Linked DNA regions of Neurospora crassa OR74A. The protein of the gene in region 1 interacts with the protein of each later gene in a pairwise test. Links are inferred from orthologs where the notes say so. Each region holds a gene or a part of one and is shown in the gene's direction. Other genes may lie near its edges.

The links.
Region 2: the proteins of NCU02498 (region 1) and NCU03186 interact in binary tests that used the Schizosaccharomyces pombe proteins (3 or more experiments, as listed by UniProt). The link is inferred for Neurospora crassa OR74A from reciprocal best matches to the Schizosaccharomyces pombe genes cul3 and btb3.

What each region holds. Positions count from the first base shown.
Region 1 is NC_026501.1:2,526,913-2,531,223, reverse strand, and holds the start of NCU02498 (Cullin-3), read left to right. Parts: upstream 1-1,405; 5' UTR 1,406-1,911; coding exon 1,912-1,950; intron 1,951-2,020; coding exon 2,021-4,311. Other genes in the region: NCU02499 (DNL zinc finger domain-containing protein), read right to left, coding at 81-797. UniProt on the Schizosaccharomyces pombe protein: Probable core component of multiple cullin-RING-based BC3B (BTB-CUL3-BTB) E3 ubiquitin-protein ligase complexes which mediate the ubiquitination and subsequent proteasomal degradation of target proteins.
Region 2 is NC_026501.1:4,843,861-4,848,379, reverse strand, and holds NCU03186 (ankyrin repeat and BTB/POZ domain-containing protein), read left to right. Parts: upstream 1-1,538; 5' UTR 1,539-1,764; coding exon 1,765-1,986; intron 1,987-2,053; coding exon 2,054-2,102; intron 2,103-2,161; coding exon 2,162-3,939; 3' UTR 3,940-4,282; downstream 4,283-4,519. Other genes in the region: nim-1 (G2-specific protein kinase nimA), read right to left, coding at 1-294, 347-805, 913-952. UniProt on the Schizosaccharomyces pombe protein: Probable substrate-specific adapter of an E3 ubiquitin-protein ligase complex which mediates the ubiquitination and subsequent proteasomal degradation of target proteins.

The sequences.
Region 1 (4,311 bases):
CACCCGCTCGTCACGGCCCCTTCTTTCTCCAGCCAAGGCATTTCCAGTGATGGCCACTCCCCCTTTTATCCATCCAACATTCAATTGCTCTCATCCCCATCCTTCTTCCCCTCTCCAGGCCTCACATTCTTGAAAGTTGACCCCGGCGGACTATTATCCACCTCCTTCTTCGGCCTCTCCGGCGCCGGCTCCGGCTCCGGCTCCCTCATGGTACTTGTCCCATCCTCCCAAAACTCCACATCCCCATCCTCGCCCAGAGTCCCCCTCTTGACCATCATCCCTTTTTCTTTCAACAAATCCTCGACCGTCACTTTCCGATCTCCGAAGAGCTTGAGGTGGTCGCTGATGACGTGTCGGTTACGGCAGTTCGGGCACGAGATCAACACGGACCCGTGGTGGTAACCCTGTTTGGAGACCTTGTGCTTGGATCGGTGATCGCAGGGGATGCAGGTGAAAGTGAGCTCGTACTGGGGGACTTGGGACGTGTCACGCTTGGGTTGTGCGGGTTGTTGTTGGTCGGAGGGAGGGGATTGAGGTTCGGGGGAGGATGAGGGCTGGCTTCGAGGACGAGGGATGGTGTGTTTTTGTCGGATTGGTGTGTAGTTGATATCTCCTCGTTGTTGTGTTTGCTGTTGCGGTGACAGTGGTACTGGCCGCTGGCACTGAGAGCTGTAGGAGTGAACGAAGTAGTTGAGGAAGCGCGACGTTGTGGTTGTGGTTTTCAACGATTGCGCCGGCGCCGAGCCGAGTCGGGTAATGCAGGACAGTGTTGATGCCGCTGCTCGTTTGGAGGCCATGGCTGGAGGTATTAGATGGGAATGTTGGGTCGGTATGGGATCCCGTTTGGGAATTGGTTGAATCACGGCCAAAAATTATGATATTCTGCGCAAAAAAAAAGATATTATGCGATAGATTCGGATAGAATCCGGTCGTTTCGTCATTGCGCCGTAGAAGTCCAGCAGCATCGCGACCCGCCCGCCCGCATAGGTAGGTACCCTGTCGCAATGTTTCTTATCGATAACGATCCCTGCGGAATATCCAATCCACTTGCCTCTACTTCCCTTGCAGTGCGCCTCTCCACCTGTAACAGTTCGCATCTTTCCGGCGATGCTGTCGATGATGAATTCCAGTAAAGTGGCAAGGCCAAGTACTCTCTATCTGGTGTTCATCTTGAGCTGCCCTCGACACTCACCCAGATTAACGGAGTTTCTGTTGAGTCTGTAAACAACACTGGGTGCCCGGCGTTGGAGCTGGTACGTAACGTGTAATAATACTTACAACACACTACTACTATGATACTGCTTCGATCTCTTAAGCTCTGTTGAAAGTACCTAGTACCTGGAGATCCACACCTATCTACCGCGTGCCTGAACTTCCCGTTTGTCAAATACCGTTTAGGTACCCTTCCATTACTAAACTTCATCCTCGACCACGTCTCTCACGTTTGCCACTTCTGGCAATTAACATGCCTCGGGTTTTCACTTTCTCTTGACTTCTCCATTTGGTCTTTTTTTTTCAGCCCCGGGGGTTCATATACTTTACGATTCGCGGACCACCAAACGTTTTCTTTCTTCGGTCTGGGGATCGTGTACATCTGCTGCGAATCGCAGAACCCATTCCAACCCTTTGAGAGCTCGTCCCGCGCGCCCTGGCCCAGCTCGACCTGACAACTTCCTTTGTGACTCTCCATCAATAACGACTCATTGGCCACAATCACCATAGCCCTTTAGCTATTACGCGTCTTCTATTCAGACCTTTTCTTCACGCACACACCGTCGATACCCCTACTGGTTACCGACTGCGGTCGCTTGACACTATAGCTACTATTGGAGGGGTCACACCTGCAGGACTTCCACTTCACCCTTCACAAAAACCCTTGCGGTTTAGGAACGGAGCACAAACGTCGCAATCATGGCATCGAGAACCAACAAGATCAGGCCCATAAGGAAGGTGTGTGTATTGGGTTTACTTACGCGGCTTGGGCGTTTTTCACCATGCAGTTAAACTAATGATATGTTAGCCGATAACGAATCGAGACCAGAGCGAGTTCGAGCCATGCTGGGCCCTTTTGCGCGACGCCATGACCGATATTCACCTACAGAACGCCGGCCGTCTGTCCTTCGAACAACTATACCGAGCTTCATACAAGATTGTGCTTCGGAAGAAGGGCGCCCTACTCTACGAGAGGGTTAGAGACTTTGAGCAGGAGTGGTTCCGAGATCACATCATGCCGAACATCGCCGCCCTGATCACCAAGAACCTGATCAACATATCGCTGCTTCAGCACCCGGGGTCGAGTTCACATGAGCGCAGGGAGATGGGCGAAAAGTTCCTGCGCGGAATACGAGACTCATGGACGGATCACAATAGGTCTATGAACATGATTGCGGATGTGCTCATGTATCTCGACCGTGTCTATACCCTAGAGACGAAGCAGCCCTCTCTGTTTGCCGTTACAATTGGTCTCTTCCGGAACAATGTCCTCCGGAGCCACATTGGCGCCGCCGCAGAAGACATCGAGCAAGACTTTGTCGTCTTTGACATTCTCTGCGCCGTCATATTGGACCTGATCAACATGGAGCGCGACGGCGATATCATCAACCGAAACCTAGTGCGCAAAATAACTGCGATGCTTGAGAGCTTATACGAGACAGATGACGAGATCGAAAACCATCGGCTTTACCTAACCCTTTTCGAACCTCGGTATCTCGAGGCAAGCACCGAGTTTTACCGTAAAGAGTGTGAGAAGCTGGTCCAGGAAGCAAATTGCAGCACGTGGCTCCGCCATGCCCAACGGCGACTAAACGAGGAGCGCGAGCGATGTGGTACTACCCTATCAATTATGACGACCGACAAAATCGCGAGTGTTGTGGAGAAGGAGCTCATCGAGGCAAAGCTCGATGTCTTTCTGGCCATGGAGGGGAGCGGCCTGAAGCCCATGATCGACAATGATCGCTTGGACGACCTTTCGATCCTGTACCAACTCATATCCAGAGTGGACAGTACGAAATCGGCGCTAAAGGTTATTCTACAACGTAGAGTGCGGGAGCTTGGACTGGAGATTGAGAAGGCGCTCAAGAACACAGACTTTTCCGTCGCTGGTGCAGCTGCTGGGGATGGTGAGGATGCTGGCGAAGCGGCAGAGAAGGCCAAACCCCAGACCTTGAATCCGGCTCAGCAGCAAACCGCTGCCGCTATCAAGTGGGTGGACGACGTATTGCAGCTTAAGGACAAGTTCGACAGAATATTGTCCGATTGCTTCTGCGATGATCTCCTGCTACAGTCCGCTATCACACGAAGCTTCTCCGACTTCATCAACTCTTTCAATCGCAGTTCTGAATATGTTTCTCTATTCATTGATGACAACCTCAAACGCGGCATCAAGACCAAGACGGAAGCCGAAGTAGACGCTGTCTTGGATAAAGCCATCGTTCTTCTCAGATATCTTACAGATCGAGACATGTTCGAAAGGTATTACCAGAAACATCTGGCCAAGCGGCTACTGCATGGGAAGTCTGAAATCCATACCGAGAAGGAGATGGTATCCCGTATGAAGTCAGAAATGGGCAATCATTTCACATCCAAGTTTGAAGGCATGTTCAAGGACATGGAGTTGTCCAAGGACCTAACCGACAACTACCGTGACCATATCGCCAGTTTAGGTGATGCCGACTATAAGATGGTTGACCTCAACATCAACGTCCTGACCACCAACAACTGGCCACCCGAGGTAATGGGTGGTGGTACGTCGAAGGGAGAAGGGGCGAAACTGGATTGCTTCTATCCACCCGAAATCAAGCGGCTCCAGGAGAGCTTTTACAAGTACTACCTGAAGGACAGGAGCGGCCGTGTTCTTACATGGGTTAGCTCGGCGGGCAATGCGGACATCAAGTGTGTGTTCCCCAAGGTTCCGGGCAAGGAGACTGGACCTTTGAGCAAGGAAAGGCGGTATGAGCTAAACGTCTCGACGTATGGCATGATTGTGCTTATGCTGTTCAACGATCTCGTGGACGGCGAAAGTTTGAGCTTCGACGAGATCCAAGCCAAGACGAACATTCCGGCACCAGAGCTCATGCGGACACTGGCTTCACTTTCGAGTGTTCCCAAGTGCAGGGTACTGCTAAAGGAACCGGCCACAAAGAACGTCAAAAATACCGACAAGTTCTCTTACAACGCACAGTTTGTGAGTAAGGCTATCAGGATCAAAGCTCCCGTTATAAGCAGCATTTCCAAGGTCGAGGGAGACGAGGAGCGAAAGGAGACGGAAAGGAAGAATGATCAGACGCGCGCTCATGTTATCGATGCGGCGGT
Region 2 (4,519 bases), about 2.3 Mb from region 1:
CAAAGAGTTCTCCCGAGTAAACGGAAGGTAACGGCGCAATCTTACCCTCCTTGATTTTCTGAACCAGCTGGTAATGCGTCTTGGCGTTGAATGGGGGCTCTCGGGCGCAAAGCTCGTATATGATGCATCCTAATGACCAAATATCCGACTTTAACGTGTATTTCTCTGCCGCGCAGATTTCCGGCGACATATAGAAGGGGGTGCCAACGTAGGTCGAGGCAAAGTCGTGCGACTGCATGACCTTGGAGAGTCCAAAGTCACCAAGCTTTACCGAGTTGTCTTCGCCCAGGAACACTACGAGGCAGCACGTTAGACCAGTCCACATACGTATCACAGGGTCACCTACCGTTCTCTGGCTTGAGATCGCGGTGCAGAATAGTCATGCCACCCGAAGGAGGTTTTGGCCTTGCTGTTGAGCCCAAACCAAGGACAGTCTTGCCGACTTCTGGAGGGTCGACGCCGTAGTGGCAGCGGTACAAAGCGGTGACAAGCTGGGAAAAGATGCTCCAGACGAACGATTCCTCCGCGTACTGGTTATTCTTAATAAGGTTGCGGATAACACGGCCCAGGTCGCCATTGCCACAGTATTCCATGTAGAGATGTAGGTCTTGGGTAGCTTTGAGATGTTCGCGGTGGTAGTATCCGACGATATTGGGGTGACGTAGGGTCGAGAGGATCGAGAACTCGGCGTGCAACTGTTCACGCTCTTTTTGCGACATCTTGAGGTAACTGATCTCCTTGCGGCAGAGGATCATGCCGTCGGCTTTGCGCCGCACCTTTCGGATGATGCCAAACGAGCCATGGCCTGTGGTTGTCAAGCAAGTCGTTGTCAGCCATCAATGTCACTGCTACCCTTTGTGCATGTGCATGTGGAGCGCCGTTCGATGGTTGGGGGAGGGTGTTTTCGCATACCGATCTTTTCTAGAAGCTCGTACTTGTCGCTCTCCGACATGTTGGCGGTTGACTAGATCAACGGGACCTCTGACAGGCTATCATGAATTGGGAAGAGTATGCTGCCTGATCCATAAGACAATCGTTTCGGGAAGTGTACCGTGTTGAAGGATAGGCCCTGTCGTCTAAGAGCTGCCGGTAATGCAATAGCAGCGTTGTATGCGATGGATGTGATGAATGCGATGGTTATGGTGATTGCGATGGGTGTATCCTAGTGCCGGGAAAGGATGCGCACGATTGCCTGTAACCAATCGAAGTTAGGTTCCGGGTCTTGTTGGGCGGCCCGGCTGGTCGTGGACGCTTCGGATGGGCAGCCCGATTGAGGACGCCTGCGAACCTGTCAAAGGGAGACCTACGCAGTACTACCAGTCAACATCGCGTTGCCCAGCAACTGGCGCGGGGCGGTGAGGCAAGCGTATCACTCTAAACATTAATACCTGTAAGCCGCCAGCCCCACTGCCAGCAAGCCGTATCGATAACACTGATAATCTACGATAAGATAAGATGTGTACCGTTGCCGCAAATCATCGGCTGTCCCGTCGACCATCCGGTGGCGATCCGTCACGACTTCCCGCATCGGCTCTCTCCTTGGTCCGTGCTAGCGCCCCGTAGCCGACCCGATTGCGTTGGTCGTCCGTCTGCTTACATATCTCCGGCACCCGAGATACCCATTTGCGGTGCCGCCACCCTCCTTCAGTGCATTCTCCTCTGAATATAAACTTCTCGGTCTGTTCCTAGTTCCTTGATAACGATACCCCTTCCTTGTAGCATTCAAAACTTGGCAAAACCAAAGAAAATATACGCACAGAAAAGATGGTACTTCGCAAAGACCAGCTCGAGCTCAAGCTCAAGGACGATGAACAATTGATTCGCCAAGGCGTCCTCCGCAATGAGCATCCGTTTGATGATTCCCCAGAGTTTCACGAATTCATACACGCGTGCCGTCGAGGCGATCTGAAGCACTGTCAGGAGTTGATATCAGGTGGCGTCAACATCAATGGCAAAGACAAGTATGACTATACTCCACTCATTATCGTATGTGACGTTCTCGAAAGCCACCTCATGCCTCTTGAATTTTGCAGTAGCACTGATATTTCAAAAGGCAAGTCTGTGCGGGCATTATGAACTGGTGCAACTCCTGTTAGAATCCGGTATGTCCTATCGCCAAGCGCCAACTCTCCACCATCCAGTCACTTACACGCAAACCCAGGTGCTCTGGCCGACCCCGATTCATTCGAGCGAGAGCGCGCGGTCTACAACGCTCTGAATAACAAGATTCGGAATTTGCTACTCTCCTATGATTACACCAAGACTGCGGATCCTTTACAGGCTTGGTCATCCCATATCACCTCGTTGCTTGTCCGCGAGATTCCGAAGACGACAGACATCAGTCTCCTCACAGCTTCTGAATCGTTCCATCTACATAAATTCATCCTCTCTTCCAGGTCGCCCTATTTCCGAAGAAAATTCGCCGACGCTCCTGAAACTAGCACTTGGAAACTATCCCACTCCATTCCTGTCGAGGCTTTTCGGGTCGTCATAAGATATCTCTATCTTGGCGAACTTCCACGCGACCTTGTTGGACCTCGGAGTACAGCCACTGAGGAAGAGGTTTTCAAGGGGATCGACAAGCTCTGCAAGCAGCTCGAAATTGCCCACCTGTGGGAAGCTGTTCTTTCAACGACCGACCGACGCTTGGCGCGCCAGAGGCATCAAGATGAGGTCCAGCGTGCTCAGGCTCAAGTAACTGCTTACTTCCGAGACACGGTCCTGAAGCACAAGTTCACAGTTGACACTTGTCGGGTGGGGGACGTGAAATGGCCCCGAGACAACGCTATTTCCGCAAACTGTTTGTTGCGTGCGGACGAGTTCGACGAGGGTGAAGGAGAAGATATCGCTGAGCCCGCGGAAGAGGCGCTCATATCTCGTAATGGTATTCCCATTGGCCCGACAGCGGCGTTGAACTCAACAAACGGGGCTTCGAATGGTGCGAAAAAGCCCAAACGCTCAGTCCTCTTCCCGGTGCACAAAGCCTTTCTCATCCGCAGTCCCTATTTTGAAACCATGTTCTCCTCCGAGTTCATGGAAGCCAAGGAAACCGAGCATCTCCACGTCATCAAGGTCGACTGTCTTCCCGAAGTTCTGGAGATCATCCTAACATTCCTCTACACCGAGAGGTCTGACTGCCCGCTCGAGCTGGCTCTAGATCTTCTCTACGCGGCGGACATGTTACTGTTGGATAAGCTCAAGACCAAAGCCGCGGTAGCAATTAGCACTCTAGGCAGCGGTACCAGCAACGCGCTGGTAGACCGCACCCATGGTGGGGCCGCGGAAGAGCTACAATCGTCACCACTCGCAACGTCGACTTCGACACCTTCGAGCGGGCAGCAACAAACACCAACTGGATCATCGCCGGAAGCGGATGGACAGTCAGTTGAAGTGGAACCCATTAACGTCTACGATGTCATTCACGCCGCCTGGGATCTTAAAGTCCAGCGTCTGGAAGATTTCGCCGCCCGGTACCTGGCCAGTCGATTGGAGGACTACATCGACGAAGAGGAGTTCGCCGAGTTGATTCAGGAAAGTGCGTCCCGGCTCAAGAGGCGTGAGGAGACGGACACTATTGAGTTGCTGGACGATATTCGGTATTACCTGGGCGAGCGATTCCGGTTCCGGTTCGAGGGTGATGGCATTGAAGAGATGTTGAATGAGGAGGGCGAGATTGATGCTGCTCAGGTAGAAGACCTGGCATTAGAGGCTGAGGCTGGGGAAATCCGTCTCGAACAGCCTTCTGACGGTCAGAGGGAAGTGGGAGGAGAGGAAGTGGGGAAATGCACTGAACGCGATGGTGAGGAAGAGGGAGGTGGTGGTCTACGAACATTAGACGGGAAGTTGGTTGAGGATGAGTTTGTGTCGGATGCGGTCAACTACCAGATCTTGCTGGAAAAGATCGATAAGATGCTTGACCGTCTGAAACTGGGTGCTTGAAGGGCTACGAGCGTTTACAGGAAAAGATATTGCATCAAGGCATTAGATGTTACATATGTCACGACTGGCTACACTGGTGGTTTTGTATGAATACGGTTCGCATAGAAGTTGGTCGTTTGTTTCAGGTGTCTCTCTCCCCCGTCACAGCGCCAAAAACTGAACTCGGTTTTTCTCGCAACGCTTTCTCCTTCCAGAGCAAAAATCGGTAGGCCAGCGACATCATCGTCTTGCATTGTAAGCGCAGCCACGTGTCTTTGGTCAGAGAAAGAGGGAAGGATCCCACAAAATGTGTTGACAGTGTTGAGATATCTGTGGCACCAGTATCGCAAATATTGCCTTCCTTCCTTTACGCCATACTCTCAATACTTGATACGGGCTTCCGCCCCAACGACGAACGTTGTCTCCAATTGCTCTACCCCTTGCTTATATCCCGATATCGATTAAGCAATATTCTTTGCTTTTCATCGGTCATGCTTCTTTCTTTTGGCAAGCGGTCGCGAAGAAATTATATTATCCCCTACATACTACGAAGTGAAAAAAACTACGACTATCTATCAAACTCAATATCTTAAAGTCCCAT